2 linked regions of the Drosophila melanogaster genome follow. The gene in region 1 interacts genetically with each later gene. Each region holds a gene or a part of one and is shown in the gene's direction. Other genes may lie near its edges. The genes, in order: cmet and Ndc80.

What was found.
Region 2: of cmet (region 1) and Ndc80, changing one enhances a phenotype caused by changing the other (phenotypic enhancement), as found in Drosophila melanogaster (one study listed by BioGRID).

The regions. Positions count from the first base shown.
Region 1 is NT_033779.5:11,259,667-11,275,273, reverse strand, and holds cmet (CENP-meta), read left to right. Parts: upstream 1-6,271; 5' UTR 6,272-6,427; coding exon 6,428-6,566; intron 6,567-6,641; coding exon 6,642-6,764; intron 6,765-6,821; coding exon 6,822-7,168; intron 7,169-7,221; coding exon 7,222-8,123; intron 8,124-8,227; coding exon 8,228-8,392; intron 8,393-8,716; coding exon 8,717-12,455; intron 12,456-12,522; coding exon 12,523-12,657; intron 12,658-12,713; coding exon 12,714-12,788; intron 12,789-12,844; coding exon 12,845-13,030; intron 13,031-13,093; coding exon 13,094-13,211; intron 13,212-13,269; coding exon 13,270-13,763; intron 13,764-13,819; coding exon 13,820-13,966; 3' UTR 13,967-14,248; downstream 14,249-15,607. Other genes in the region: cana (CENP-ana), read right to left, coding at 1-2,589, 3,741-4,576, 4,630-4,976, 5,034-5,156, 5,232-5,370.
Region 2 is NC_004354.4:13,604,474-13,620,158, reverse strand, and holds Ndc80 (Ndc80), read left to right. Parts: upstream 1-8,096; 5' UTR 8,097-8,193; coding exon 8,194-8,279; intron 8,280-8,341; coding exon 8,342-8,401; intron 8,402-8,463; coding exon 8,464-8,848; intron 8,849-8,916; coding exon 8,917-10,413; 3' UTR 10,414-10,488; downstream 10,489-15,685. Other genes in the region: CG2691 (uncharacterized protein), read left to right, coding at 1-421, 494-596; Tango2 (transport and golgi organization 2), read right to left, coding at 1,106-1,562, 1,757-2,057, 2,223-2,345, 2,584-2,725; tth (toothrin), read left to right, coding at 4,179-4,483, 4,740-5,721; CG11178 (uncharacterized protein), read right to left, coding at 11,248-11,758, 11,827-12,007, 12,075-12,476, 12,685-13,714.

The DNA.
Region 1 (15,607 bases):
TCGCCCCTCAACAGCTCCAAATCCTGAACATATTGATCGCACTTCTTTTGCAGGTCATCGATGTTCTCGTTCGACGAGCCTGGCAGCAAATCCGAACTTTTCTGGTCGGCAGTGCATTGCAGTTGTTCTAGCTCCAACATGCTTTTGTCGTACAGCTTCTTAAGTTGGCATTTTTCCATTTTCACTCCCTCGAGTTCCACTTCCCGATCAGAATTCGTTTTATGCAGCTCTGCTATTGTGTTTCGCATCACCTCAAGCCTAGAAATTTCCTTATCGCGCTCCTCCTCCGCTTGCCTTAGTTTCTCCTTGTAAGAAGATTCCTTCTCCTTCAGCGTTTCCCTGATTTTTTCAAGCTCTGCCTTGTGTCGGACAGCCAATTCGTTTCTTTCCTTCTCGGCCTGAGTAATCTTTTCTTGAAGAGATCTTTTAATGACATCCAAATGCACCTGACACTGAGTCGTAACACTGGCGAGCTTTTCATTGGTCTGCTGTAGCTGCTCTTCGTAGCGTTTCTGGGTTTCCTTTAAATCCAGGCAGTATGCACGGAATTTGGAGCGGTTTTCATTCTCGCTCGTCTCAATTTTCGCCATGTACTCAAGCTGAAGGCTTTTGTTCTCATCTGTCTTTCGCTTCTCCAGAATACTTAATTCCTCTTGTGCCCTTTGTAATGATTCTTCAAGTTGCTCGATTCGGCGTTCATATTCGGTGGTAAGAGTTCGTTCAGTTTGTTCCTGGATAGGCTTCTCAACATTTAGAGATTCTTCAGCTGTGGTACTATGGTGCTGCAGTTCGACACCGCTTTCTTGAAGCTGATCTAGAGGGCGCAACTCCTCCGCCTGCCAATTTACAATGTCTGCTAGCTTCAGTTCCATGGATAAGCAACACTCGCTTATTTCTCCAATATCCGACTGCAGTTCGGATATTTTTTCGTCCTCTGACTGCTTTTCAAGTTTTTTCTGCAGTTCACACACCTTGGACTTCAGATGTGCAAGGGATGTCTTGAGAGTAAGGACTTCCTGAGATTCCTGCTTGTTAGCGGTCTGTACGGTATCTTTAGTCTGCAACTCCTCGCACAATATTTTTGTCTTGGCATTTTGATTTTTTATAGTTTCGATTTGATTCAGGCTGGTAATTTGTGCACGCAAATTGTTAATAACTTCTTTCTCTTCCTCAATTAGATTCTTTTTCCCGTCAACTTCTTGTTTCAGTTGGAAAATGATATCACGCATTCGGTCTTCCTCTTTCACCAAATTCTGTTCCTGATTTATTTTGACAATCTGAAATCTTTGGCATTTCAGAAAGCCTTTAAGGAATACGGAGTCGGATGCATCATGTTGTTTACCATCACCCTCTAAATACTTAGCAGGCTCAAGGCAAAGTTTTAGGCTTGGCACGCTTTGATCCTGTTCGGCATGGTTATATATAAAGAGGCGCCTGCCACCGGAGTAGTCGGTGAGCTCAATCTGTTGGATGGACTTCGACAGCTTGGTGAACTGTTGCAGCAGATCAGTGTCCAATTCGTTTTCCGGATCACTGCACTCAGTGCCTACACCCGAACTCTTCATGGATTCCAAATCGGAGTTCGTTGTTCGTTGCTTGTGCTCCTCTCGGAGTGCATCGCACTCTTGAATAGTACTCATCAATTCGTTGGATAGACATTCGTAATTCAGTTGGATCTCGTCAAACTCCCACTGCAACTTGGAGAGGCGCTTCTTCAGCTCTTGATTTTGTAGCTCCATATCTTCTGGATGAGTATCCGGATTGGGAACTTCTAATAGCTCACTATGGATCTCCTCCACTCGCTCCTTGAGAGTTCCAATCTCGGCTTGCAGTTTAGAATTTTCATCCTGCAGCTGCTGACACTGTTCATCCGATCTGAGTTCCAGATGCCTATACTCGTCCTGCAGCTGTAGGTACTTTTGCTGTATAGTATTGTAGTCAACCTGCATGGTATCAATGGCCAGCTTTTGACTAGACCACTTATGCTTCAGGTTGTTGTACTTTTCCTGCAATTGTCCAAAGTCATCATGCGCTGTGGATATCTGTTCGGAGAGCCGTTTGCAATCAGTGGTCTTTTGTGATACCTCACAGCTTGCATGGCTGAAAGTAGACAGCATACTTTCCAACTTCATACGGGTGGCAGCAATCTCCGATCGCAACTGATCAAACTGGCAGGCGACTGAGTCCAGTCCTGAGGCACTCGCTAGGGGCAGTAGCCGTTCCAACTCCAGGCACTTGTTGCAGATCCGCTCGCAGCTGGACTCAAGCTCGGGGCACATGGATCGCATTTGATCCTCCTTGCTGTTTCGCAACACATCCCGAGATAGCTCCTCAAGGGACTGTTGCAGACTTACTATGGTCGAATCTTTTTCGGAGATGGAGGAGAGAAGTTCTTCCTCCATTTGCTTCGACTTGGCCTTGTGTGTTTCGAATTGCTCCCCTAGATTGACTGCCTTGCCGTTCTCCATCTCCAGCCGCTCAATTGTCTCCTTTAGCCTCTTCACCTGCTCCTCGTACTTCTCGATCGTCTCCTTTGCTACCTGGTTGGATGCAGTAAGCGCAGAGATCTCGGTCTGCGGGGCATCGCAGCTGTAATTGATAGGAAAATTGAGGGATTTGAATGAATACGTAAATTCAGGAACTCCATAAATATACTTTAACTCTATTTATATTTCCAGTGCGCGCATGGCTACGAAAAGCTATTTACTCTGCCTAGCTAAATGGGTGCTGTCTGAGGGAATCCGGCGTTCACAAAAAACCACTAAAAATAGAAGCAGCTGGCGGCATTCAAGTTGAAGTTGCACCAGGCGAGATGTGTGGGTTACGCGAACATGGTCAAAGAAATAGAAGCGTTTTTAAAGATTCAAATCTAAACACCTTTCACAAATTGTTTATTTTCGCAAACGAAACAGAAGTGCAACTGCACTGTGCTATTATTTTGAGCGCAGATCTTTTACCCAAGTCACTCACTCACTCACTCACTTTTTCGGTTTCGGTTAGCCAATCTATATGCGTTACATCACAGTCTATAACGTTGGTGGATCGACAGTAGGGCCGACGTCATCGATCACCCAAGACGATCGGGGGAGGAGCGCGAGAGCGATGGGCGGAGGAAAAGCGTGCTGACTGACGGACAGCGGCAAATACAATGAGCATTGCGGAATTCCAGCGATCAAATTATCAAGAAGTTGGCCAGTTAACTACCTTGTCGATCGGCTGACTGCCTTATCGCGCTTCCAGGGCCACAAAGCGATCGTAGCTGGGGCGTCACATCGCATCCAGCCGAGTCTATTCGCAAAACTGGCTCACAACAGGCGTCGCCTCGCCTCTTTCCGCTCCCGGATTCTCCCCCAGAAATCTTTCCTTCTCGACGGCTATTTGCGTTGGCGTTTGTTTTGTTTTCGATTTCTTCGCGATCGGACTCCCAGTTGAGACAGCTTGCCCTCTTCGCTGCGACTGCTGCGAGAAAGCAAGAAGAGCGAGCGAAGACCGCACGAGAAGACAGCCGAGTAGAAGAGCACGCCGCACTCGTCTCCACCTCGTTTTTAGTTCAGGTGTCAGGTGAGTGCGCGCAAGAGGTGAGTTGGTATGTTCAAAATGCGCAAAATTGCTTACTTAAAGTACTTTTCAAAACGATATAGTCGCGTAGAATACTATGTAGTTTCGTTTGTTTAACTCATTTGAATCTTTTTATAACTCTAGATCTAAAAGTAAAATAAATAATTCATAAATTTACTTACTTCGGCACCGACTCCTGATACTTTTTTGACATCATTACTGAAGGAATTCTGCTAGCTGTCTCTCTTCCCAACTGTTTCGCCCGGCCAGGCATAGTGTCCATATTATCCGTTTGTAACCTTTTCTCCTTTAGGGTTTTACAAATGCCTTTGGCTTTGGGAGCAATCCCCCGCCGCTGAAACAAGGGTTTCGGCAGGTTAGTCAGCTTCGAAGGACGCGGTAGACGGGACTCCTCTGGCTCAGGCAATGCGAGAACAGGAGCGTCGCCTTCTGAGCCTGAGGCGGTTAAAGTCCAAGTACGACGACGCTTCTGGAGGCGATAGTCGTCAAGCGAGGCGCTGGAAACGATCTTCAACATGTCGCGCTTGATGCGACCTTCCAATTCCTGCAATACCAGCTGGCTCTCATTCTTGATCTTCTTCTTAGCAAGCTTATCCTTCAACATACTGATCCCGCGATCAAGTTGCCTCATCATCGTGGTTTCAGAGTCTATCTTGCAGACCTGCGGCTTGCAACGAATTTTTTTGGCACACGTGCCGAAGCTTATAGTGGATGACGACTCCTCCACGAACGATGGCGTAATTGTACAGATGATAGAGGTCAAAACATTTCCACCCAGCGAAGGCAGCATGATGCGCGGAAGTTTCGAATCGCGAAAGCTATTCGGCTTGCTATCTACACTCTCGGAGAGGCTCTTAACCAAGTTGCGAAAAATCATAAGGCTGGATGCGTGGTCCGCGGGGTCCACCTGTTCGGATCCAGCCAGATCCACCAGGCTCAGTACGCTCTGCTTTACGGTGTCGTTATCACTGTGGTCCGACTTTCGGGACTCAATGATCTGTAGAAATAATCTTGCATATTATATGATTAATACAAGAATCTAGCACTCACTATCCTGAAGATGGCGTGCGAACGACTGGACCGCTCGTTCATGTTGGTCTCGCCCACGACGCGCTCCTTGTTGCCCATGTAGAGCTGGCGCAGGAGGTCGTCCTCGCTGGTTACGATGGACTCCTTGCAGTTCACATTCACAATCCCATTGCCGGACTCATGGATCTTGAGGTCCTGATTCTTCTTGTTCAGCAGATCGTAGATCTTCTCGTTGTAGATCTCGATGTAGCCCACGCGCAGCAGAAAGTCCCGCTCCGTCTCACTGGAGATCTGTTGAAAGATCTCCTTGGCGGCTAGCACCATGACGCCCGGATTCTGTTCGTCGCCCATCATGGTGTACGTCTTGCCTGAAATGCATGCCCGGTTTTAGGTATACCGCCGCGTATATATAGCACAGTACCCACCCGACGACGTCTGGCCGTAGGCAAAAATAGTTCCGTTGGAGCCCTGCATGCAGGCGTGCACTATGTGCTTGGCCATCCGGTCGAACACCTCCTGGTTGCTGGCGCCCTCGTCGAACACATAGTCTGCCAAACGGAATGGAATGTAAATGAGATAAAGGTCTTGTAGATCAGGATACGCTCAACGCTCTAACCACTCACCGAAGACATAGGGCTCCGCATGGCTGTCCGCCAACTGGATGGAGCGGCCCTCCTTCACCTGCCAGAGTGAAGTGAGCCCGGGCTCGCAGGGACGCACCTTGATGCAGACCTGGATGGAGCTGGCGTTCTTCGTAGACATCTTTGCGACTTGTGGGAAACGTGTTTGACATGCACAATGAACAGACACAAACAGATTTTAACGTTTTATAAAAGCTAGTTTGATCGACATGTTAGTTTCTCTTTGTAAATTCGAACAAATACCGCTTCGGAAGCGAACCAGATCGAAATACGGAACCAGTAAATAGGCGCGAGCCAGTTCAATTTAAAAGTTTGAGGAGCTTTCGGCGAATATGAAAATATAATCCAATAGGCTTCGAACATAAAACTTTTTCCGAGCTTTTTCGTGATATATAATATAGATTATTATTATCTATATTTCCAAAATAGTAAAGACCGCTAAATTAAATGCTTACTTACAGACAGACAAAAGCTGAGGGGATTGTTTAATGCATACAGAAGAATACTGTCTGATATAAACATGAGATTTCATTGGAATAATAATCCCAGTTGTTCACTATTAAAAAAAATAGGAAAATTGAAAATTTGGAAAATATTATAGTGGTTATATTAGGGAGCTTAGTTATAATTTATTTCAAATATTTGTTTTGGAATCAAATACTTTCCACATTATATGTGTGCTATGAATAGAAGTTATGAATTAGTAGAAAAAATACGAACTTATATGAAATTTAAACCGTAGTTTTCGCATGTATTTAAGAGCTTGTTCTATTTTCTGTTTGACCTTAAAGTATTGAGTCATAGAACTTTGTTAGTTAGCATGCCCTACCAATAAGAACACAACGTCTTAGAATATATATATGCCGTAGCGACCCTTGATCAGGAATGTTAATGCAGCCCTGTGGGATAAGAACATAATGTGTTTCTGTTTTTATTTTTGCAGCCCTATTTGGAACTATGATAACAATCGATGAACCGATTTATCTATCGAGTCGTTAGCGCCACTCGAAGATATCGAAGCATATACATCCCTGATTTTGCAAAGCGGCATTTGTTCGAATTTAACGAGCAACAAAGATGTCGATCAATGTTTGTTTACTGTAAAACATTGAATTTTATGTTTGTTTATGAACTGCGTTCTGTTTATCATAAAGCATTGAGACCAAGAAGGCGCCAAGATGTCTGCGAAGAACGCCAGCTCCATCCAGGTCTGCATCAAGGTGCGTCCCTGCGAGCCCGGGCTCACTTCACTCTGGCAGGTGAAGGAGCGCCGCTCCATCCACTTGGCGGACAGCCATGCGGAGCCCTATGTCTTCGGTGAGTGGTTAGAGCGTTGAGCGTATCCTGATCCACAAGACCTTTATCTCATTTACATTCCATTCCGTTTGGCAGACTATGTGTTCGACGAGGGCGCCAGCAACCAGGAGGTGTTCGACCGGATGGCCAAGCACATAGTGCACGCCTGCATGCAGGGCTTCAACGGAACTATTTTTGCCTACGGCCAGACGTCGTCGGGTGGGTACTGTGCTATATATACGCGGCGGTATACCTAAAACCGGGCATGCATTTCAGGCAAGACGTACACCATGATGGGCGACGAACAGAATCCGGGCGTCATGGTGCTAGCCGCCAAGGAGATCTTTCAACAGATCTCCAGTGAGACGGAGCGGGACTTTCTGCTGCGCGTGGGCTACATCGAGATCTACAACGAGAAGATCTACGATCTGCTGAACAAGAAGAATCAGGACCTCAAGATCCATGAGTCCGGAAATGGGATTGTGAATGTGAACTGCGAGGAGTGCATCATAACCAGCGAGGTTGACCTCCTGCGCCTGCTATGCTTGGGCAATAAGGAGCGCACCGTGGGCGAGACGAACATGAACGAGCGGTCCAGCCGTTCGCATGCCATATTTAAGATAGTAAGTGCAGCCTGCTATTTTCTTTCCGATAATCTGCAACATGTATCCCACAGATCATCGAGTCCCGAAAGTCGGACCACAGCGATGACGACGCAGTGATTCAAAGCGTGTTGAACCTGGTGGATCTGGCTGGGTCAGAGCGGGCGGACCAAACGGGTGCTCGAGGAGCGCGCCTCAAAGAGGGCGGTCATATAAACAAGAGCTTACTTTTTCTCAGTAACGTTATCAAAAGTCTGTCGGAAAACGCGGACAATAGATTTACCAACTACCGCGATTCCAAGCTGACGCGCATTCTGCAGGCTTCTTTGGGCGGCAATGCATTCACATCCATCATTTGCACAATCAAACCATCGATCATGGAAGAGTCGCAGTCTACCCTTAGTTTCGCCACGCGAGCCAAGAAAATTCGCATTAAGCCCCAAGTCAACGAGATGGTATCTGACGCCACAATGATGAAGCGGCTGGAGCGAGAAATAAAGGTGCTTAAGGATAAGCTGGCCGAAGAAGAGCGCAAAAACGAGAACCAGCAAAAGGTAGAGCATCTGGAGAGACAAATAAAACACGACATGCACAAGATAATCTGTGGTCACTCCCTGAGCGACAAGGGTCAGCAGAAGCGTCGCCGTACTTGGTGTCCCACTGCATCGGGATCGCATTTGGAGCTAGCAGAGACCGGCACAACTGAAGATCGAATTGACCAATTTCCAAAGGTCTCACACCTTCCAAAACCAGTGTTTTTTCACACTTCAAATGCAGGCAAACGATGGGACAACATTCCAAAGACCATAAACATTTTGGGTTCCCTGGATATCGGTACCGAGAGCAACTCCATTAGTGAGGAATTTCTCCCGGCAGAATGCATTGATTTTGGCTCCCCTCGCCCAGATGTCCTCAAACCCATGTTGACCATCAGGCAACTGCCAGACCTGCCCCTCACTCCCAAGGGTCCCTTAACGTAAGTACTTCTGCAAGCTTTTTGATCATCCTCCATAACATTCATCACATAACAATCGCATCCACATACCCCGACCCGATCCCTGCACTTATTTGCCTGCACAGAACGGATAAAATCAAGAAGGAAATCCAGGACCTGCAAATGTTCACCAGCTTAGAGAAGCATTTTGAGGTGGAGTGCGAAGAGGTGCAGGGTTTAAAAGAAAAGCTGGCCGAGGTTACAGCACAGCGGGATAATTTAGAGCAAGAATCGTTAGCCGAAAAGGAGCGGTGAGTTAATGAGGTGTTTTCTGTCAAGGAATCTGTCGTCCAAAACATAGTGCCTGCATCGTAAAAAACGATGTAAACGTAACTCGACTTTTGTGCTTTAAGCAGTCAACCCAAAATCTAACATACCTATTCATACAAATCTGTAAAACTAGTGCAGCGATATTCTATTCCATTCTATAAAAACAAAACACTTAAGTATATGTTTCAGTTTTTAACAGTAAATTTTGTTTATAGAACACCACTCCACAATACCTGTTTGTTTGATTTATTTTATTATAGTTTTAGTGTTTAACAATAGTTTACTACTTGTGTATCTTCTTATAGTTATGATGCTCTGGAAAAGGAAGTAACCAGCCTAAGAGCGGATAATGAGGCTGCGAATTCAAAAATCAGCGAATTGGAAGAGAAACTGAGTACTCTAAAGCAGACTATGAGAATAATGGAAGTGGAAAATCAGGTGGCCGTGGGCCTCGAGTTTGAGTTTGAGGCTCACAAGAAATCATCGAAACTTCGCGTGGATGACTTACTCTCTGCCCTTTTAGAAAAGGAGTCGACTATAGAGAGTCTTCAAAAGTCCCTCGACAATTTAACCCGCGATGTCTTACGGAACAGCAAGGAGGGCCACATGCTTTCCATTGCCCCAGAGCAGGAAGACATCGCCGGCGACAGTATATGCAACAAGTGTGAGGAACTGGAGAAGCTGATTGCAGATTTAGAGTCCAAGAAAAATTCATGCGAGTGTGATCAGCTCCGGTTGGAAATCGTCTCTGTTCGCGACAAGTTAGAGAGCGTTGAATCTGCCTTTAACCTGGCAAGCTCGGAGATTATCCAAAAGGCGACTGATTGCGAGCGACTTTCGAAAGAGCTATCCACATCCCAGAATGCCTTTGGACAACTTCAGGAAAGGTACGACGCTCTGGACCAACAGTGGCAAGCTCAACAAGCGGGCATCACAACCCTACATGAAAAGCACGAGCACGTGCAGGAGAAATACCAGAAATTGCAGGAGGAGTATGAGCAGTTAGAAAGCAGGGCAAGAAGTGCCTCCAGCGCTGAGTTTCAACGGCTTCAAAATGACAACACGAAGTTTCAAGCCGATATCGCATCCCTCAATGAACGATTGGAGGAGGCCCAAAACATGCTTACGGAAGTCCAAAACTCTGAATCTACTGTGGAAAAGCTTCGAATACAAAATCACGAACTTACAGCGAAAATCAAAGAACTGGAGACGAACTTTGAAGAGATGCAGCGGGAATACGATTGCCTTTCCAATCAACTGATGGAGAGTGTCCAGGAGAACGATGCCCTGCGAGAGGAGATAAAGCAACGACCCACGAGTCACGTTGAGGAGTCTATGAGGAGTTCCGGTATAAGCTCCGATTTTGACGAACAGAAGCAGGATATAAACCTTCTACACCAGTTTGTTCAGCTTTCTGAGTCCGTCCAACAGATAGAGCTGCAGCATCATTCCGGCATCAGTCGCCTCTTTAGAGCCAACCAAATGAAACTGGATCAGAGCGAGCCAGGACTTAAGCTTTGCCTTGAGTCTGCTGAGTACATCGAGGAAGACAATCGTCAATCCGATGCAACTGAACCTATTTGTCTCAAAGGCTTTCTCAAGCGACACAGATTTCAGATAAAGCGACTTAGCCAGGAACATGTAGATATGGGAGAGGAGAAGCGATTGCTTGATATTATTTCGCAGCTGGAACAGGAAATCGAAGAGAAGAGTGCACTTATGGAGGCAACAGAGGCAACCATCAATGAAATGCGAGAGCAGATGACTAACCTAGAGTCGGCACTCCTCGAAAAGAGCGTTATAATTAACAAGGTTGAGGACTACCAGCGGCAGATCGAGTCCCTGGAAAAACAAAATGCGGAGATGACAATGGTATACGAGGAGCTGCAGGATAGAGTAACAAGGGAGAGCTCGATGAGCGAGAGTCTGCTCCGAGTTCCACCTGACGAGGATACCCTTCCAGGATGCCCTACATCTCCCAGTAGACGAGAACAGGAGGTGGCCACGCTAAAGACATCCATAACAGAATTGCAGTCACAAGTTTCTGATCTAAAAGCAGAACTTGAAAACCATTTAAGGCAGATCCAGTTGAAAGACGGGAACATAGCGAGACTACAGACGGATTTTGAGGAAATGAGTGAGCGCTGCTTATCGATGGAGGTGAGGCTAGCCGAGTTGGATGAGGACACTAAGCAAAAACAAGAACTACTGGATCGTCAGGCGCAGAAGCTCTCCGATGACCTATGCCTTATCGATCAGCTTCAAAAGAAAAACGCGCAGCTCGTTGAACAGTATCATAAAGCGACAGAATCTCTCAGTCTTGCGGATGCAAAGCCGGATCAGATACTACTTTCCTCCCAATATGATAGTCAGATCGAGAAACTTAATCAATTGCTAAATGCAGCCAAAGATGAGCTACACGATGTGCGAAGGATAAAAGATGATGAGATAAGTGCTTTGCGAATGGAGTTCCTGCTCCAAATTGAAACGAATGAGAAAGAGAACCAAGCCAAGTTCTACGCTGAATTGCAGGAGACTAAGGATCGCTATGAGAGCAATGTGGCCGAGTTAAAGGAGAAGCTATTGCAGGTAGAGGAGACACTCTCCAGCGTTACGGTTCGTTGTCAGGCGGAGTTGGAAGCGCTTAAATCTGCTCATAAAGAAAATATTTCTCAGGCTGTGGAGGAAAGAAACAATTTGATTGTCCAGCACCAGGCAGAAATGGAGACTATCAGGGAAACTCTTAAGAATAAGCTAGCTGAGGCTAGCACCCAACAATCAAAAATGGAAGATGCCTTTAGAGCGGAAATAAACGAGGTGAGAGCCACCCTAATGGAGCAATTGAATCAAACGAAAGAAGATCGCGATAAGGGAGCCTCGAAGCTTGAGGAGGTCAAAAAGACACTGGAGCAGATGATAAATGGAGGACGTGTCATGTCAGACACCATTGCTGAGTTGGAGAAAACAAAAGCTGAGCAGGACTTGGCAGTCAATAAATTAACAAAGGACAACATCGAATTAGAGAAGCAGTGCAGTAAGACGCAGGAGCAGTTGCAAATGGAATCGCTTACTCGAGATCAAATCAGTTTCGAAATAGAAGCACATATTAAAAAGCTGGAATTGATTGTGGCCTCTTCAAAGAAAAGGATTATTGAGCTCGAGGAAAAGTGTGACCAGCAGGTTCTGGAATTGGATAAATGTAGGCTCGAGAAGTTGTCCCTGGAATCAGAGATTCAAAAAGCGAATTCAGAGCATTCGTGCACCATGGAAAAACTTCAGGAACTCCAAGCTGAAATGAAAGTTCTAAGCAACCGGAATGAGAAGGAAAAGTGTGATTTCGAAACTAAGCTCGAGACATTTACTTTCAAGATAACCGATCTCGAAGAAGTCCTGAAGGAGGCACAACATAAAGTCATTCTCTATGACGATTTGGTATCGCAGCACGAACGCCTAAAAATCTGTCTTGCCGAGGCAAATGAACTATCATCAAACTTGCAAAAGAAAGTGATGAGCCTGCACACGGAATTGATTGATTCCCAAAAGGGAATATCGAGTCGAGATGTGGAAATTAATGAGCTACGCGAAGAACTGAAGGCCGCTATGGATGCCAAGGCAACCGCGAGTGCCGAACAAATGACTCTGGTAACGCAGCTCAAAGATGTCGAGGAGCGGATGGCAAACCAGGCAGAAAAGTTCACACGTGAGGCGGCTAATCTAAAAGGGTCTATAAACGAGCTCCTCTTGAAGCTCAATTCCATGCAAGAAACTAAAGATATGCTAGAGTCCGGAAATGAAGAACTCAAAGAACAGCTGAGAAATTCCCAAAATCTGCGGAACATGCTGGATGAGGAGAGTAAGATGTGTATCTCCCTAAAAGAAAAATTAGTCAAACTGGAAGATGCAAAAACTAGCCTTGAACAGCAGTTGCGAGACAATAAATCAGAAATATATCAAAGGCACACGGAGCTTACCAAGGAGGTGGAGCTGGGCCGCAACAGAATTGGAGAACTCACAAAGAAGTGTGAGGAGCTGTGCTCTGATCTGGTAAGCTTTTTTCTTAGCGTTATAATTATATGAAATTGTTTTTTTAAACACGAAAATGATCCTAAAGGAAAACTCAGACCAGATACGACTCGATCTGCAAGAAACTAAAGAGCAGTTGAAGAAAACGTTGGAAAATAACCTTGGATGGCAACAGAAGGTTGACGAAGTGACAAGAGAGTGCGAAAAGCTACGATTTGATATGGTAATAGAGGAGCTCACACGATCATTCACAGAAAATTATTCATTGATTTCTTTTAGCAATCCAAAGAGGTGCAAAATGAAAGTAAGGTTCAGGAATTGATAAGCGAGTGCGAAGAGCTCCGGTCAACTCTGGTAAGTGTGATATCCTGTTGCTAGATTTTTAAATGATTTCAAAAAATGATTTTTAGAAATCCAAGGAAGCCAGTTTTCAGTCTGAGAAAGAAAGCATGGACAGAACAATCTCAAGTCTTTTAGAAGACAAACGCAACCTCGAGGAAAAGTTGTGCTCGGCTAACGATATTGTGGCTAAGCTTGAGACGGAAATAGCCGCGTTGCGGCCAAGAAAAAGTCTAGATCGGAACCCAGTGCCGAGGGTAAAACAATGTTTAAACGCCTCTAGCCATAATAGATCTCTAAATGTATTATAATTTTCGCAGAAATCGATTACCTTTGAATCCGAAATACGGAAGAATCGACGAATCAGCGTCCACGATGAGCGACGGCAGTCTTACTGGAACGACGTTCGGGAATTTGGCATCATGACAGATCCCGTTGGTATGAGTAGTTGCAGTGTATTTCCTCTGGTTTTCCCACTCAATGAATTCAATTTCAGACAACAACTGCAACTGTGCGGAGCTGAATTCCAAGCTTCAGGACTGCCAGCGTGAGCTTTTCATTCGTGAAAGTCAAGTGACGGCACTAAAGATGGAGCTGGACCATCATCCGCTGAAGGATGAGAATGCGCAACTAACGAAGCGAGTTATTGAGGAGCAAGACAAGGCAAAGGTTGAGCAGAAACGGCTTAAAATGAAACTTCAAGATCTTAATGCTAGGATTAATGACCTCACTACGGCATCAGCCAAGGAACCAGAATCTAACCAAATGGCACAAGCAGCTAAACCTGCTACCGTAGCCGCTCAAACTCAGACGGAATCCGATCTTGAGACAATCCTTGAGAAAACGAACGTAAAGTATCAGGAAGCGGTTCGCATGTTGCGCTACCGTTACCATCTCATCCAGGAACTGAAAGAGAAACTTAGGCAAAACGAAAACAGTGATACCTCGAATATTACCTCACTCTCAGCTGGACAAACCAGTGCATTGAAGGTTGCTATTTCGAATCGTTACTCAAGTAGTTCTTATATAAAATATTGTTTTTGCAGGCACAGTGTGAGTCCCAAAAGAAGGAAATTTTGGCAATCAAATATAAGTATGAAGCCGCCAAGCGAATTTTGGCGATTCGAAATGATGATTTGGATGCTCTGCGGGAAAAACTCGCGAAATATGAAACAACTACATCAGATAAATAAGTCACTAGGTATTATATTTGTGTACATATGTGTATGTGTTTGGGCTTAGGTTAATTTTGGGTGTCATCAATATGAGTTCATACAGAGTTCCGAGCTATTAGAAATATTGCATTTAATGTGTTGTACTTAAACGTCTCATCCTTGTTAGGTATATATTTTAATTAAATTGTATTCAATATTACCAATTATTAAATGGATCCGCATATTTTGAGTAAAACACACATTGTCTTCATAACGCGGCTTTATTGTAATGTCAATAAATATTTATATAACTTTCTAAGCACATGAATGTCTACTTATATTGCTTATGTAACGACTTTAACTAATATATTTTATTCTAACGTCTTAACCAAATCGCATTAGCCATAAATGCATTTCAAGCCTAAAAATGCAATCTATTGCACTCCGCTTGCGCCAAAATTTGGGCGAGAGTGAGAGGAAAAAGTGTCTAGAACCAAATAAAACTTTAAACCGGGTAATAAAAACTAAAGATACTCTCGTGTTCTTAATTTTTTTTTATTTATATCTCGCTATGCTGTTAGGTGGCTCTTAAGTAAGATTTTTAAAAACACGCATGCCAGTGAAATAAGTTACATATTACAGAGTGCAGTTAAGGACTTACAAATAAATATCCAAGTAAAATACATTTAAATTAATTGAGGTAGAAAATTACTAAATTAACACATATGTTGGTCATAAGGCAAGTTGTATCGACTCTTGTAGAGTCTATGCTCATCTCCGATTGAAGCTAACCATAAACCTAGAATAACTGAGGCATATTCCAACTAAATACATACATTCAGGAAACAAGTAGTTACATCTATCTATGTCTTGCTTGCAGTGCTGCCACATAAACTAACTAGCCTAGTTTAAGTATAAGTATATGCTTATGATTCGCACTGGATATCATTAAGGGGGTTCCACCTTCGAGTGCTGACGACCGAATGCTGAGTATGCTGAGGTATTCAATTCTCTGACAAATAAGTACAGGCATTCATATGTTTTGTATATTTAAGTGTAAATACGTATACCGAGCGTGCACTGTATACCGTATGTTAGTTGTATAAACATTAAATTTCTTGTTTGCTGATCCCCTCGCGATAGGATTCTAAGTCTAAGAGCAGATATCTGCTGCTGAAAATTGGCAAGTTTCATGAAGATGGAGTGCAGGACCAGTCACAACTCATGGAAGTCTGAGGTTCGTTTCGGGGATTCAGCTCTTTCGCTGGCTGAGGTAGTTCGGTTGAGTTGTTCGGATTTGTCCGCAAGTGTTCCTGAGATATGGTAAGCACTGGTATAGACTGGCTAGACTTGGAACTGGAAGGCTGTGGCATGCATGGCACATCTGAATTATCTGCTGGCGTCTGGTACAATACTAATTACGACGGATCGTTTGGGGGCTGCTGTTGGCCTAACATATTCAAGTTTTTCTTTTAATGTATTTACAGGCATCTCTTTCAATGTGAAATCTAACTTAGTACTCTAAGACTACCATTACGTTTTCTTTTTCATGCAGGATGGGTTGTCTGGGGCTCTTTTCATTTCTTCTCCTCATCGACTTGTATACACAGCAGGTACTTGTGTATATAAATTATAAATATACATGTGTATAGCGATATATCTATATATAGAGGTATACTA
Region 2 (15,685 bases), on another chromosome or scaffold:
CACTTCGTGGCCAGGGCGGTAACGATCAGTCCGATGACGACTCGGATTCCGATGCATCCATGGCGTATGGCACTGTAGCCAAGCAGCCCAAGGTTAAGCGTGGCATGGAAGACGATTCGAGCGACGAAGATAAACTGCAGCAGAAGCTAGTACCCAAGCGTGTACGCAAGGGTGATGATGCGATGAGCATGAAATCGGGCAAAACCACTGCCAGTAGTCGCTACACTGCCGGTGGCAAGGGCATTCATCGACAGCTGACAGCTGGAAACTCGGATGCCATGTCCGTGAAGTCAGGCAAATCCACCAGCCGCCCAGCGGGCAGTGAGTACGGCAGCAAGAAGGCCAAGGGTGATATGAAGAAGAGCGGAAAACTGGATCCATATGCGTATATACCACTCACTAGGAATAACCTGAACAAGAGGTGTGTATCCAAAATGTTTAATATTATTAATATACCCGTCCCTATCTAATACTCCATCTCTTTCGCCCCCAGAAAACGTTCAATGAATTCGCGAAAATTCAAGAGCGTATTGCGAGGAGCTGGCGCTGAAAATGGAGGAGCCGGCGGTGGCCGGGTGTCCAAGAAATACAAATAGGGCAGACGATTCAAGCCAACTGGCTAACAGGCTCGTAAAGCTATAGAGATATAGAGATGTATAATAACACTGGGATAGTGCGGTCTGTTGATAAGGAAGCTAAGACGTTGATGATTATTTCCCCTGTTACTTTGCTTAAATATATAAATATAACTTAATATATATATATGAACATGTGGAGACGTTGTAAATGCCACAGATAAAGAAAAACAGAAACAGAATAGTTATGTATTTTTTTTTTTTTTTGTTTTGATCTGCAAAGACTTTGAATAAAGAATTTTGAAAGCAACATAGTTCGATGCGTGGCAGAAAGAAGAGCAGTAACGTTAGATTAAATCCACACAAGCTTTATGTTCTTTAAAGATATAGTAAATATGACTATTTATTATCGCAAATGCCAGAGTCAAAATACAGATTGGTAGAATATTAGCCAATTAGGTTATTCTACAAAAGAGGAAAGTCTTCGAACGAGATAGTTGCGTCAAGAAGTTGCGTCATCCTGTCCGTGGTCAAACGCCGTTTTGAAAATCCTTTTCAATGTGGGTCTTGTTCCATTCGCCGTGCGGATCCAATCCAGTCATTGTCTCCTCAATGAAGTGCATCTTATTCTCGCTGTCCACCAGGACAACGGAGTGTGTACGGCTGCCATAGGCATGCTCTTCGATATGGACGTTTAGGGAACTCAATCCCTCGCCCCAGTTGGGCGCACGTGTCTTTAGCTCGTCGTCCGGCCAGAATTTGTGCTTGTTGCGGAGCAACTGCATCAGCTGGGCGGACAGAGTCTCCACGCTGGCTTCCCCATGAGCCTTAACGATCGCCTCGAACTCCTGTTTGCCATGACGCACCTTCTCGAACGGAGAGTGCGGCAGACTGTTGCCAAATCCGTAGCACTCGCCGTTCTGGAAATCCTCCAGCGTGGGCGGCACATTGCTCAGCAGCTTCACGCGAGCGGGCTGGGATGCAGATCTGTTGAGAACGAAGGCGTGCAGTAGATGGTATCAATGTTTCGCTAATGGTTCCCTAATGTTATTGCATATTATTCAGAATTTATACGTATAATTCGGAGATAAAGACAGCATAAAGCAATATATGTACATACTAATATGCATATAATTAGAATATATAATAATTCAGGTTAACCTGAATGGGCGCAGACTCACCCAATTTCGATGGACACAAAGTTGAAGGCAGAATACTTGGTGCAATCTTTGAGCAGCCTTTCGTTGTAGTTCAGGATGCTGTGCTCCTCGTCCGCCCGGGTAACATAGTCCGCCACAATCATGCCGCGCCCTAGTAAGAAATGTTCGTTATTCGATTGCCCCCTACTCGGATTCGTATTCGGGTTCTGAATTGGATTCGGATTCGGATGACGGTAGCTGTTGGAGGTGGTGGTCTTGGGGCAAAGGTTAATGCCGGTGCTGTTGCTGTTGTGATTATGCGGTTGCAAAATGTTTTTGTGCGCTTCAAACAGAAAACAGAAACGAAGAAAGTTTGTTTTTGCTTTGCTTTTTCTTTGGTCGCGGTTGTGAAAGTTTTAGTTCGGGCCAAGTGTTAGGTGTATGGATGAGTGTGTGTGCGTGTGTGTGCGCGTCAATTTGGATTAGTAAGTAGCTCAAATGGGTTTACCAACTGCATCGCGTGGCTTGGGCTCGCCGGTCAGATTGAGCAGGGCGCCCACCTTAAAGAAGCCAGCGGAGTGGCCGATCGCCAGCCAGGTGCCGCCCTCGCGTCCCGGCTCCAGATCGATCCCTGAAATGGGGGAATACATAAATATTTACTCAAGTTGATCCCGCACTCATGGGTAAGATGGCTTGAAATCCAATTAGGTTGCTGGGAAACAGATCTTGTGAGAGGTGTTCATTCTAACAAACTGCTATCAAATCATCTTAGTGACTAAACTATAGGTAACATCTTGATGAATACAAGCTCTCAAGGATTATACTCCATCTAAGCATAGGCATTCAAGGGCATAAGCCCCACCACTTACCTCCGTAAACATGATCGGCATTCGCCCACTTGGCTGCCGATAGGGTGGCGCGGGCAAAGAACTCGTCCCGATTGGAGGCCAGGATGAGCTTGTAGCCACCCGGTTGCGGATTCGAGTCCGCACAAAAGAATATCACGCACATCGTCGGAATCCTATACTTATTTGGCTATTGTTGCGATTTGTAGTGCCTTGAGGTTGTGGGACAACTGCGAATGGGATCCGGAAAAGTGGGCTTTAATCTCGGTGGGGCGTCGGTATCAAAATGGCAGGTTGTTCGGCTCAGTCTTCTCTTTGTTACTTTGTGGCAGTGGAACTATAGCGCCGGTTTTATCACCAAATAGCCGTACGTACGTACAGCTGATATACAGTCTTATCCGTTGTTTGCGAGACCAGCTAATCTAAGTGGTAAATGTAAATGGTTTGGATTGGTGGGTGTTCTCTGTGAGCCGTGCCTCTATGTGATATATACATATCTACGGGGCAAAAAGCATTCCCGTTAACGCAAACAAAGCAGTATTTTCTGAAATTTCAATGACCGGGTTGCCTTGTTTTGATTTCTCTTTTAATTTTGTTTTTGTTTTGTTTTGGCGTTGCCAGCTGACAGGAGAATCGATAAGAAAATCGTTAACACTCTGCTGCCCTGTGCAATATTCTTTTAGCTATTTTATTAATTGCTAATTATTTATTTGTGCAGTCTATGACTTATCTTAATTTGTACTTTTAAATTTGAAGATTTTAGTTCCTCATCGTGCGCTGAAACAATGATTGACCAATATGATTGTGTAATTTATTTCCAAAGCCATATATAACGTATATATAAACATATTAGTTTTTTTTGTCGCCTGTGCCGATCCAGATAACAAACTACTATTTTGAAATTGGCGTAACAGGTAGGTAGGCATTATCGCCAGTTGCCCATCTCTATTGTATGACCGTGGGCCCGGCAATCGATTGGCTTACAACTTATCGATGTTTGAAAACTAACCAAAAACCCTGTAACATAGGCTTGTAATTAAAACTAGAAAATACCATTACATAGCTATGCACTGCAATGCATAAATTAACTAACAGACCTATACAGGCCCTTAAATTGGTAAGAAAACTGATCGCTAAAATTAAAGCGAAAGAGTGGATTTTTTAGGACAAAAATACCGGTCGGTCGAGAACATTTGGGGGGAAAATCATGTCGCCATCTGGTAACACTGGCATTCAGCAGAGCAGTGAAAACGACGTTAATATTTCTGATCAATTAAACAATTGGAAAATCCGGCCGCAGATCGCGATCTAAACGTATCGCCCTCGCCACGCCCACTGCCGCCCACGCCCCCTGGCGCGGGGTCACATCGATAGAGAGCTTTGCGTGTGTGTGTGTGTGCGTGCGTGTATGTGTCGGTCGAGAGGAGAGGTGGAAGACGAAGAAGAATAAAAAAAACAGGCAGCGAAAAGCGATAAGAAACGGAACACAACACACTGGAAAAAAATTGCGATAAGAAACGGGGCGGAGCGGAGCGGAAATTGCCAAGACTCTGGGATGGATTAGCGGCACAGCCGGACTCTGAGGTTAGCCAACAGTGGGATTAGGACCAGGAACAGCCATGTCCTCCGCCGTTAACATCCAGATCGTCTCTATGCCGAATCTGGCCAAGATCGAGAGCTTCCTGAAGGATGTCAGCTACCGGGAGACGATCGAGTACAGTGCCAACTTCAACACGCGCCTGTGCAGCGAACGGCGCCACCGGCTGCCCTTCCTCGATCCGCAGACAGGCGTCGCCCAGAACCACTCGCAGCTCTTCCTGGACAAGCGACAGCGGATGCCCGGCTTCCGGCAGGGCCAGATCTACACGTATCCGGCGGCCCGCTGGCGGAAGAGCCGTCGTCAGTACTTGAGCAAGATGTACAGGTGAGGAATCGTAACCAATCGGTGCGGGATTTGAGTGACTGGCACATGCACAAGGAAAAGTTAGGTATAACTCTGGCGAAGCAAATTAGAGCTTGGAAATCTAGGAGTCTGTTACCTATGGTAATCTTATTTAAAACGAGTTAGGTTAGAAGAATATCATCTGTGTATATGCCATTCAATCTCATCAAATCCTACATTTTTCGTTGGGTGAGCTCCATATTTATCCCTGCTAATAACGAACTTTCCACTTATACAGCCGCTTTCCCGAGCGTCCCTTCCAGGCGCTACGCAAGGAGCACGAAGCTCTGGTGGCCAGCGGCGTCAATCTGGGACTGAGCAGCCTGACCAGCGGTGTGGGCTCCATGCCCGGCAGCAATAGCCTGGCCAGCAGCTCCTCCCTAACGCTCAATATGCTTACGGGCGGCGGAGCCGCGCCGGCCGTACTTGGTTCCCTGCACAGTGACACTGCCCACGATTTTAATGGAGCCTTCAGCCTGGAGGAGTCCAGCTCGCTGGGTGCCGCCGGCGGTGATACATCCGACAGCAAGGACAGTCAACAGCAACAACATCAGCAGCACCAGCACCAGCAGCAGGCCGTCAAAGAGGAGCTTTTGCCCAAGGAGTGGTTCTACGATGACATGGATATGAACGATGTGGACTCGCTGGAGGAGCCCAAATCGCCGGCGGATGATGAGTACGATTATGATCCGCGCTATGGTAACAAAAAAAGGCGCAAGCGGCGACCAGGCAAGCGAGGTGGAGATTCCGGCGGCGGTGGTGGTGGAGGAGGCGCCGGCGGTGGCGGCAATTCCGGCGGTAGCTCCAGCTCGCGGAGACGCAGTGCAGCGGCCAGGTCGCGTATCACAACGACGGATGCGGCGCTGGACGCATCGCTGGAGGCCATTGAATCTGGCGAGAGTGTGCCAGGCAGCAATGGAGGACCAATCTCCAGCGGAGGCATCCTAAGCGGCAGCCTGGGAGCAGGCTTAGCGGGAGTTTCGGGATCCGGCGGCGGAGGAGGAGCATCGGGAGCTTCGGCCAACAGCCGCAGATCGCGGGGAGCGGGAACACGTGGCAGGCGACGAGCCAAGGGGCCAAATAGCGCCGTTGGAGCGTCTTGCGATCCGACAAGTCCCGGCATGGTCATCGAGCCACCATCCTTCGAGAGTGCCGCTGCTGCGGTGGGCGTGGTCGAGGACGCGAACGCCCATCTGCGCAACTATCGGAAGTATCTGTAACCGCTCTATCAGCAACTAACTGGACGTGTAATCAATCAAAGCCTTGTTTTTCGCAATGTTTTCTCGCCTATTGAATCGACCTACTTTTTCGCACATAATTTAAATATAGTTTTTAAGCCTTAGTTGATCACTGTTTGTTGCCCCCCTCCGACAAAAGGATAAAAGCCAAGCAAGAAATGAAAGAAAGGAAACAAATACATTGTGGACCAGGGACAGAAACAGGATTAGAATCAGGATAACGATCAGAACCGCGCACCAGGCCGTAGCCAATACAATTCCAATGTTTCGCCTCTCTTAACTTTACGTTCCCATAGCCAATTGATTGTTGTTTTTTAAACTAGCAATGGACTGGTGAACTTCTACTATAGGATAACTTGAGCGGAAACTTATGGATGTAGCAAATATTCTTCGAGCAATTTTGTAATGTAGGAAACCCTTTAGGCCATCAATTATTAACGTTGTATAAGTTAGACAATGAATTTAAAAAGAACCTTTTTCGTCATCGTTAGGCAATTCGTAATCAATTATTTTCGGGCATCATCTATGCCATAAGTGAAACAGCACAATTTGAACTATGTATAGTTTTGCAATACACGACTATATTTCACATCTGGTTTCCGAAGTTTTGCTTAGAGCAGTTCGCCAGACCATTGCATTATATTGTACATTATATATATGGGTGTACAGACATTATATACATATATATATATATACATACTTGCATGCATTGTATTTGCGACTCTACTTAAGGCAAGTCCACCTTTTGGACTGGCTCTCCACCTAATCGCAATCTCTCGGTTTCTGTTGCTGCATGTTCTTAATACTATTTCACCTAGCTCCCCACCCCTCCCCACATATTATATTCAATTTTTTTTATTTAACCAAAATTTTAGTTAAAAAAGAGACAATTCAGATTGTAATCTATTTAGGCAAGTGGTAGGGTATCTCTAGCATTAGAAGAAGCTAAAAGTAAAAACAATTTCGTAAAACCAAAATTTTTTCTCTAGGATCATAATTATTAAGCTGAGCTAAAAACGAAAACAAATTTTAACTAACTAAGAAGGGACAAAATTGAAATAAGATCAAAAAAGGAAAACATGTACATTTTGGAAGAAAAATCAAAGTCCACAAAATTTTAACGAATGAGAGGCAAAAAATCAGACAAAAATGAACCACAAGAGAATGAAAAAAAAAAACAAAAATGGAAATAGGTTTCTAAGATGTTTTAATATATTTTGTAATAACAATGCTCGAGTATTTTTCATGTATGTAGTTTTTGATCCAAAATTGAGCGATCAACAAAGGCAAAGGGGTTCTCAACGATCGGTTCCTCGAGAGGATTTGCCAATCATCGATCATAGGGCTCTATTGCTGAACGCTTTGTTTTGGGCACAACTACCTCCTCCGCTTGGCACCGGCAGTAGCCTCGTCTGTGGAGGATCTGGTGGTCCGCTTCCGTTTCTGGCTGCTAGGGGGCTTATCTTCGGCAACTTCTTCTTGGGATTCGGATGCCTTTGCCTGCTTCTTTTGGGCTTTCGGTTGTCTCTTCGTTTTGACCAACTCTTTGGATTGCTTCGCTTCCTTTGAATCGACTTGAGTTGGCTCTTCCTCGGATTTCTGTTCCTTTTTGGATTTACGCGAAGTTGAAGTTGAAGTTGGTGCCTTCGTTTTTGATAAAAACAATATTTAGTTAATTTTTTCTGGACTTATTGGGCCTTCCCTACCTCGTTTTCCTGTGCTTCCTCTGTGGACTCCGACTTCTTTGGCGATGCTAGAGCCTCGGACCCCGGTAAATCAATTTTAGATAACTTCTGCGTGTTGATCTGTTCCTTGGACTCCTGCTGGTCACCTAGAATCCCTACAATCCGATCGTATACCTCCTCCACAGTGGGAAACTTGCGAGCACGTGGTGGACCCCGCTTTAGACCCGACCAAAGTGCCACCTGCTCCTGCTTTCCCATTCCGCCGGCGCTCAAACTTAACTCGAAGGCTCCTCGCCGTGGTGCTCCAAGTGCATTCAGCTGGAGCTGAAGCTGTTGGAGACCACGCTCCCGGAGAGCGGAGTGCAGCTCCTCCGCTCGACGACGAAAGACTCGTCAGGATCGGCAGTGCTCTACGTAGAGCACCGGCGCATTGGGATCCAGCTCTTCGCCTGCATCCCGCTCAGCGATTGGCGCCTGTAGAATCGTTTGGAAATGCATTTAGCTATTGAAATAATGTAGTATTTCAATCGTACCTCTGCTTTTTTGTTCCGTTTTGGTGGCATGATCCTAAAGTAATCAGAATTTTTAAGTAAATGGCGCACTTTTTATTTGGCAGTGCTGCCAGATGGTTTAGTAACACTAGGGTGTCAATCGCGACTGCATCCCTGGAAACTATCGATTTGCCGATAACAGGCGTTAAACGACGCGCGATTCCCAATCAAACTGAGTAAACATTTAATTTAATCAACGTAGTTTCAATAACGCCAAGATGTCGCACCTGATGCCCCGGCGGACCAGCGAGTTCCGTGGCGATGTACTGGAGGAGCGAGGCACTGCCGATAAGCGGCAAACCAGGTGAGCATCGAAATCCAACTGATCAAATCTTGTCAACGATGCAAATGCGTATCCTTTTCCAGGGCAACAAAGCGGAGCGCAGCCACGCACACTCCGTCCTCCAGCCAGGCGGCACCCAGAAGGTATGCACAACCATTTGATTATCGAAGGCACAACCAGTAATGTTTGAATCCAATCCGCATAGGCCGTCCGCATCGCGTCTGCCGCAGCCGCTGAACTTGGAGCGCGATCGGGCCAGTCAAATGGGCGTGACGCCCAAGCGAGGCCACCGGTTTGTGCCCTCCACTGCGGAGCGCGCCATTGCGCCACACTCCGACAAGAAATGGGTGGCGGAGAGGGCACAGCAGATCCTGGAATACCTACATGGCATTCAGAACAGCGAGGCGCCCACTGGACTTATTGCGGATCTATTCAGTCGGCCCGGGGGTTTGCGACACATGACCATCAAGCAATTTGTTTCCATTCTCAACTTTATGTTCCACCACATCTGGCGAAATCGCGTGACAGTGGGCCAGAACCATGTCGAGGATATTACCAGCGCAATGCAAAAGCTACAGTATCCTTATCAGGTAAGCAACTCGGATGCTCTTAGGTTTCCAGTGTTCGTTTAATTCTTAAATCCACTTGTGACTTGCAGGTGAACAAATCATGGCTTGTATCGCCAACAACACAGCATTCATTCGGCCATGTGATCGTTCTGCTGGACTTTCTCATGGACTTTTTACCGCCTCTGCCCTCGTCGGATGTGGTGGAGGAGGAGTTTCCGTTTATGGAAACCATGGAGCAGCCCAGCTCGTATCTGAATAGCATGCACTGCGAGTCGACGACCATCATGTCCACCACACAGGCGCACGCCATTCAGCTAGATGAAGACGTCAATGGTCTGCTCTTCGAAGAGGCTAGCAAATGCATTGCCTTGTGGGATCAGGAGCTTACCAATGAGGAGGCCAAGCTGCAGGCGGAGACCAGGGATCAGGTGATCAGCAAGAAGTGTGATTTGCCCGATCGCAAAGCCTTAGACCAGCTAATCGGCGATCTGAAGACGAAACTACAGCAACTGGAGAATAAGTTGCATGATCCCAGTGAAGACAATAAACTGAACAAACTGGAACGTCTTACCAAAGAGCACGATCAGCTTGCCCAACAGCTAGCTGCCAGTGAAGAGGAGCTGATCAAGAAACTGAAGTTATACGAACAGCTGTCTGCCCAGGTAGAAGAAAAACAGTCTAATCTCCGCCAGCAAATGAAGTATGAAAAGCGTCTGGAGCAGGCGGTTAACAGGCAGAAGTTCTCCGCCCAGCAGCTAAAGGAGCTTCAAATGAAGTGCGACGATATGGAAAACTACTCCAAGGCTTATGAGCGCCAGGTGAAGGAGGTGTCCGAGCTGGAGCTGCATCAGCAGGTGATGCTGTCGCGCGCCAAGCAAAAGCAACTGGATTCCGTTGAGGTCTTTAACTCGCACGTGCGCCACCTGAGCATGGACCCGGTGATTTGTGGCCTGATAAAGAGCGGCATTGGCCAGCAATCGGACCTTACTCTGCCACTAAATCCCAATCAAGAGGACATCTCGGAGAGGGTGCAGTGCCTGGAGTTGCTGGGCAAACTTCTGCAACAGCACCGCCAGCAGAATATCGATCGGCGTCAGATGTTGGACAAGCAGGTGGCCAAGGTAAAGTCTGATTCCATCGAGTTAGACACCGAAATCGCCACCATGGACTCTCAGTTGCGGGCGCAGAAACAGCGTCTGACCAAAATGGAGGCCAGTTATCGGACCAAGCGCGACATGCAGGCGCAGCACAGGCAACAGCTGCTCGAGGATCAGTACGACCAGACCGCCCGTCTGGATGAGTTGGAGAAGAGGGAGAAGCAGGCGCTGGAAAAGCTGGAAGCCAGCAAGCAACGGAACGAGGATCTACTCACCGCTGCTGAGCAGTTTCAGGAGCAGGATCTCAAGGCCCGCCAAGATCGCCTGGAAAAATGCGAGCAGAAGCTGGCCAAAGCGGAGGACCAGCTGCTCGCCGTGGAATCAAAGGTCAACGCGACTCAGGCCAAGCTGAACGAGGTGGAGCAAAAGGTGTACTCCGCCAAGCTGCCATCCTTTCAGCCCGTGCTAGATGCCATCAAGAATCATTGATTTGATCCGGATGTTTTGTTGTAGTCCAGTTGATCTGTAAGGAATTTATTAAAGAGTATTCTTTGTTTTCAAATTAAAAAAGACAATGAAGCTGTCTGCAATGTTCAATGTTTTATGTTTTATGAAATGCATTTATTTTTGATTACATTTGAATTAGGTAAATTGAGTTGAACACAGCGGTTCCTGGACAAAGGAGGGGATGATACTCCATAATATCAGATTTCTTAAGTTCTTTATTGCCACACGTATTACGGATTTCATTACGGATCTCCGCTGCCTTTTTTGGGATTACAAATTGCACTTGGAACGGTTTAGCTTTACATGGTTATACATATGTATACACTGAGTGGTGGGTAAATACGGCAAGGGTAACTTAAGCGTAGGTATCTATAAATATTAAATAATATTATCATTTGGCCAATTTTGTGTAGTTTAGCGTGCGATTGACTTGTGCCACAAAAAAGTTGCAGGGAAACGTTTGCATTTATTGCTATTAAATTAATTAATTTGGATATTTCATTTGTGTGCGCTTTTTTCGTATTCGTAGATATATATTTTGTCATTTTTGGGCTTAAAATAAACGAAAATGAGGTATTATTTCAATTAGTAGTGATGTATCTCATAGTATATTGTCGCTCGATCATAAATCCTAGGTTTCTGTGTACCACAAGTCAACCAACTACAGAATATGTATGGGTATACAAAAAAATAGGGGGGAAGTTCGAGTAGTAGTTATAAATTCAACATTGAGACTGAGACAATATGTTGTGTAATAAATAAATATCATTTAGCTTAGTTCAATTCTATACAATGACCCCGATAGTGCTAACGTCCTCAGACAATGAAGACATCGCCACTGCTGCGCTCCACGGCCGAGGTGGCCACATCGCCGCCACATCCTGGCCGACCGGCTTGGCTTGCAGCCGCAATCTTGGGCTCCTCCGATTGCGCAGTTTTGTCCAACAGCTCCGCCTCGCGTCCAATCTCGACGATGCCTTGCGGCTTGTCGCAGCTGACGCTCTGTGACTCGTGCGACTCGTGTGCCTCTTCCTGGCCAGCCAGGTGGATGCTGACTCCCGCCACGTCAAGGTCTTCGACGTCCTTATGATTCTGGAATGTAACTGAGATCTCTTGGGCTGCAGCTCCTTCGCTTACATCCCCTTCCTGCCCATTCGAGCTGCTGGTCGCAGGCCCTGCATTTGTTGCATTGGGCGGGGCCGTCGTGATGGATGACCACCAGCTGGAGAAGGCGCCCTTGGCCTGGGATATGGCACCGCCCACTGCACGACTCGTCGTGTTTACCGCCTGGTTGATTTTTCGCCCACTCTCGCTATTTTGCATGGTTCTGCAAATTTCAAGTGTTTAGAAACTTAGTTCCCCTTCGGTATGGATTTCAGGATTTTAACCGCTTACTGTGCTAGTTTTAGTTTCATGTCCGCCACGGACAAGGTGCCGGCGAAGGGATGACCAGCGGGCAGGGCCTCAAAGAACTCGGGTTCGGGCCTAACGTCGTACCATTCCTGAAAGCATTGGGTGCGCTTGAAGGCGCCCATGAAGTGCGCATTGAAATGATCGTTGTCCTTTGGCGTGGCATCTGTAAACAAACAAATTTACATTTACATTTGATGGTTCAACTAAAAGCTAACAAAGATTGCACACACCTGGAGCCACAGCAGTTCGCAAGAGTGCGAGAATATAGCCCTGAAACTGCTCCCGTATCCAGTACTCGCTGCCCTCGGCATCCTCCTTTGGCGATTGCACATGCTTCATGATGTAGTCCATGTAGCGCAGATCCTCGGTGCTCAGCACCAGCTGACGCCTGAGCTCCGGATCGTGGGCATCCAGATTGGCCGCCTCGATGTCCACCAGGACGTCAGCCAGCTGACGTTTCTGCTGGAAAAGCACGTTGGAGGTGCCGATGACATAGGAGAGCACCATGGGATCGCTGAGCAGGTCCATGTACGGTAGCGACAGATACGGCAGGCAGAGGTTGCCGCTGGCGAAGATGCTGACCGGTGCCCGATACTCATCCGGATTGACAGCGCACAAGGCGGCGAGGTTGGCTATGGACGAAACATTTACACGGATCAGTTAACTGCGTCATACGTAATATTTAATGTCTGCACGCTCCTATCTCCTATCTAGAATGATTCACTTATATGGCATGATATGTATAAGAATAAACGCAATAACAAAGGTTACAATTGACTAAAATGTGCCTAAATCTGCTAGTTACGCCAAACACGGGGATAGACTTCTTGGGCTACTCACACGCTAGTGTGTCCACGCTGGCCTCTCTGGTCAGCGAGCTGTTCCTGCCGTTCGATGAGTCCTGCGACTGTGAGTTGGGCGTGGAACGCGTCGACGTGTCATCGCCACTGACCTGCTCCTCGCCCGCCGACGCTGCGGATGAGACGAGGGCCAGCTCTTCGGCCTCGCCCTCCACCGCTGTGGCGCTCTCGGGCGTCAGTTTCTGCTCATCGGTGGCAGCTGCTACGGAAGCCACTGCCTCCAGTTCCGCTTCGGCTTCGGCCTGCGCCTCCCGCTGCAGGGAGTCAGTGAAATCCGGCATGGGCGACAGGGGACGCGACGTGCGCACACAGGCCACCTCCTGGAAGCCCTTCTCCAGCAGCCGCGGCACCAGCGATGCCATGCCCAGGATCAGCACACACATTTGGCGTACGGGCGAACCGAAACACACCACTCGTCGCTGCAGCAGCATTAGTTTGAAGAGCATTAGCGTCTTGTGGCGCCAGTGGAGTACGATCTCGCGCAGCGACAGCCCCACGTGAAAGTGGCGCAACGGGCGGCGCGACTCGTCGTCCTGGAGGCAGGCATTTAGCTGCTGATAGGCCTTGGCCAGCAGTTCCGTGCCGGAGAAGTCGCCCTGATCGAAAAAGGCATCGGCAATGAGGGCTAGCTTCACCTCGATGTACCCGTAGATGGGCAGGCGGGCCAATATGCAAACGGACTTCTGAACGGTGCTGCGCGTGAGGTCCGCTGTCCGGATCTTTAGCTTCTCCACGCGTATCTGGCGATAGCAGGACACGCCGTAGATACTCTCAGCCGGCTCATACAAACTGGGCAGGTTGAAGAACACCGTGTCCTCGGCAAAGTTATGCGAGCCGTCGGGCAGAGCCAGAGTGGGCAGGTACTTCCAGCCGGAGGGGCATTCGTTGCGTCCCGTGGAGCCCGAGATTAGCGGCGGATGCGAGAACTCCACCTGGCAGCCCAGCTTGTGGTGGAAGCCCACCACGAGGATGTGCAGGATCGGTGGCTTGTTCTCCGGCTCGCTGGCCATCGTTGGTCGTTATCCTTGTACCAAGGAGCAAGCGGTGTCCACAAAAAATGCGTTTTTTGCCTGCAAAATGAATATCCAATTGGATTGGCCACTACCACATCGGCCCTCTCGCTCGCACTCGTGTAACCACGCCACGCAATTGTTGTTCTATTCGGACCACGGCGCACTTATTTTGTGTTGCAATTATCTATCTGTCGTATTTAACTTTCTTTCTTTACGATTTCCAAGCGATTTTGTTTTTATTCTATTTTCTTGTTTGTGATAGCGTATCGATATCAGGAGGCGTTATTTTGTACTCCAATTAGATGTGCATTTGCCGGTTATCGATATGTTTCGCTTCGACCAACGGCATTATCGACTACACCAGTACGAAAATTGGCGGTTACTTTTGAATTTGAAATAACCATTGAAGAATTAGAATCACGCTAATATGAACGAAAATAAAACTTCACAGTGTAATTTGTTTTTGTATCTCATTAATCTTTATTAAGAAACAATACAAGAAATATATTTACTTTAAATACAAGATAAAATACTATTCAGAAAAAAAGGATAATTAAATTTTTTGATTTTAATGAGTGAAGTTACAAGTTTCACGAGATCAGAATTAATGCATGGTAAAAAAATGTATTTACTTTTATACAAAAATACCCGTAAGCATCATCCAACTTACCAAAATCGAAACTATCATTACGAGTATGTTGAAATAGTTGTAACATTTTGGTTTTAGTCGCGATTTTGTTGGCTTGACTACTGATACACATTTCCAAGTGTCAACAAGCCGAAAATTAAGTCAAAAACAAATTCTGAAAATAAACGTGTAATACTATACATATAGTAGACGGAGCATTAGGTACTATATAGCCAGACTGTGTATGATGGCTCTGTTCTTAAACGTTTTTATATTTTCTGCTGTTTTCATCTTGGGGTTTCTTCTATGTGTCTTTTTTCTTATGGATTTTTCCGTTGTTTCCTTTTCCCCAATTTTTTTTTGCTTTTTTTAATTGGTCTGTTTTCATTTCATTTAATTTAGTTAGAGCGTATTTTTAAATCGAACATCCAACATATAGATTCTAAAATTGGCACACATCGCTTGTTTGTTCTTTACAAAATATGTTTGCTTGACCTGATCTTATTCATTGAAAAGTTTATGAATTATATATTTTAACTTTAAACTGGAAAGTGCATTGATTTAATGTGTTAAATACATTTAAGTTTATAATAGGAAGCTCTTACTATTCTGGTCACTAAAATCTAAAATTGAAAAGAACATATTTCAGAATTTTAACTGTTTTCTTGCATCATACACAGTAGAAAAAAAATGCAAGTGACACAGCCAACAATAGCTTATTATTTAAGATTGCACCGATTGCAATCAATTCAAATTATTCGACACTTTGGATACGCTGTTCATTCATATAATCCCAGGGCCATCGTTCTTGTCTGAAATCAAATATTTTTCCAGATCTTGGATAATGTTTATGTTATTCCTGATCTATGCAGATATTAGCCACAGTTCCCCGTAAACATCGCCCCAGAAAGCTAACCTATAGATAGACATATAGAAGATATTTAAACAAATACATATACATACTTTAATATATATATATATATATATATATTTTTTATATCGGGCATCTTCGTGCATACGATCGGCACTAAAAACCGAAGGCTACAGACGAATAGCGCCCACACAAAACGTCCAAAAATAGAACAACAAAAATTCGAAACTGTGCTATTTGTTATTCCCTGATTTTCGAATATTCTGACTTGCCTTTCTAACATTCTGATATTCGGACATTCAGAAGATGATGCGAATTGAAATTTACTTGAATACGGCATACGGCATACCCGACTTTCCACCCACTTTCACGCCCACATATGTATATATCTGCACATGTCCGTACTTCTGGTCTACGGATCACTGAGCTATTTGGCCCGATGTTTGCAATAGGTTCGTAGTTGTTTATT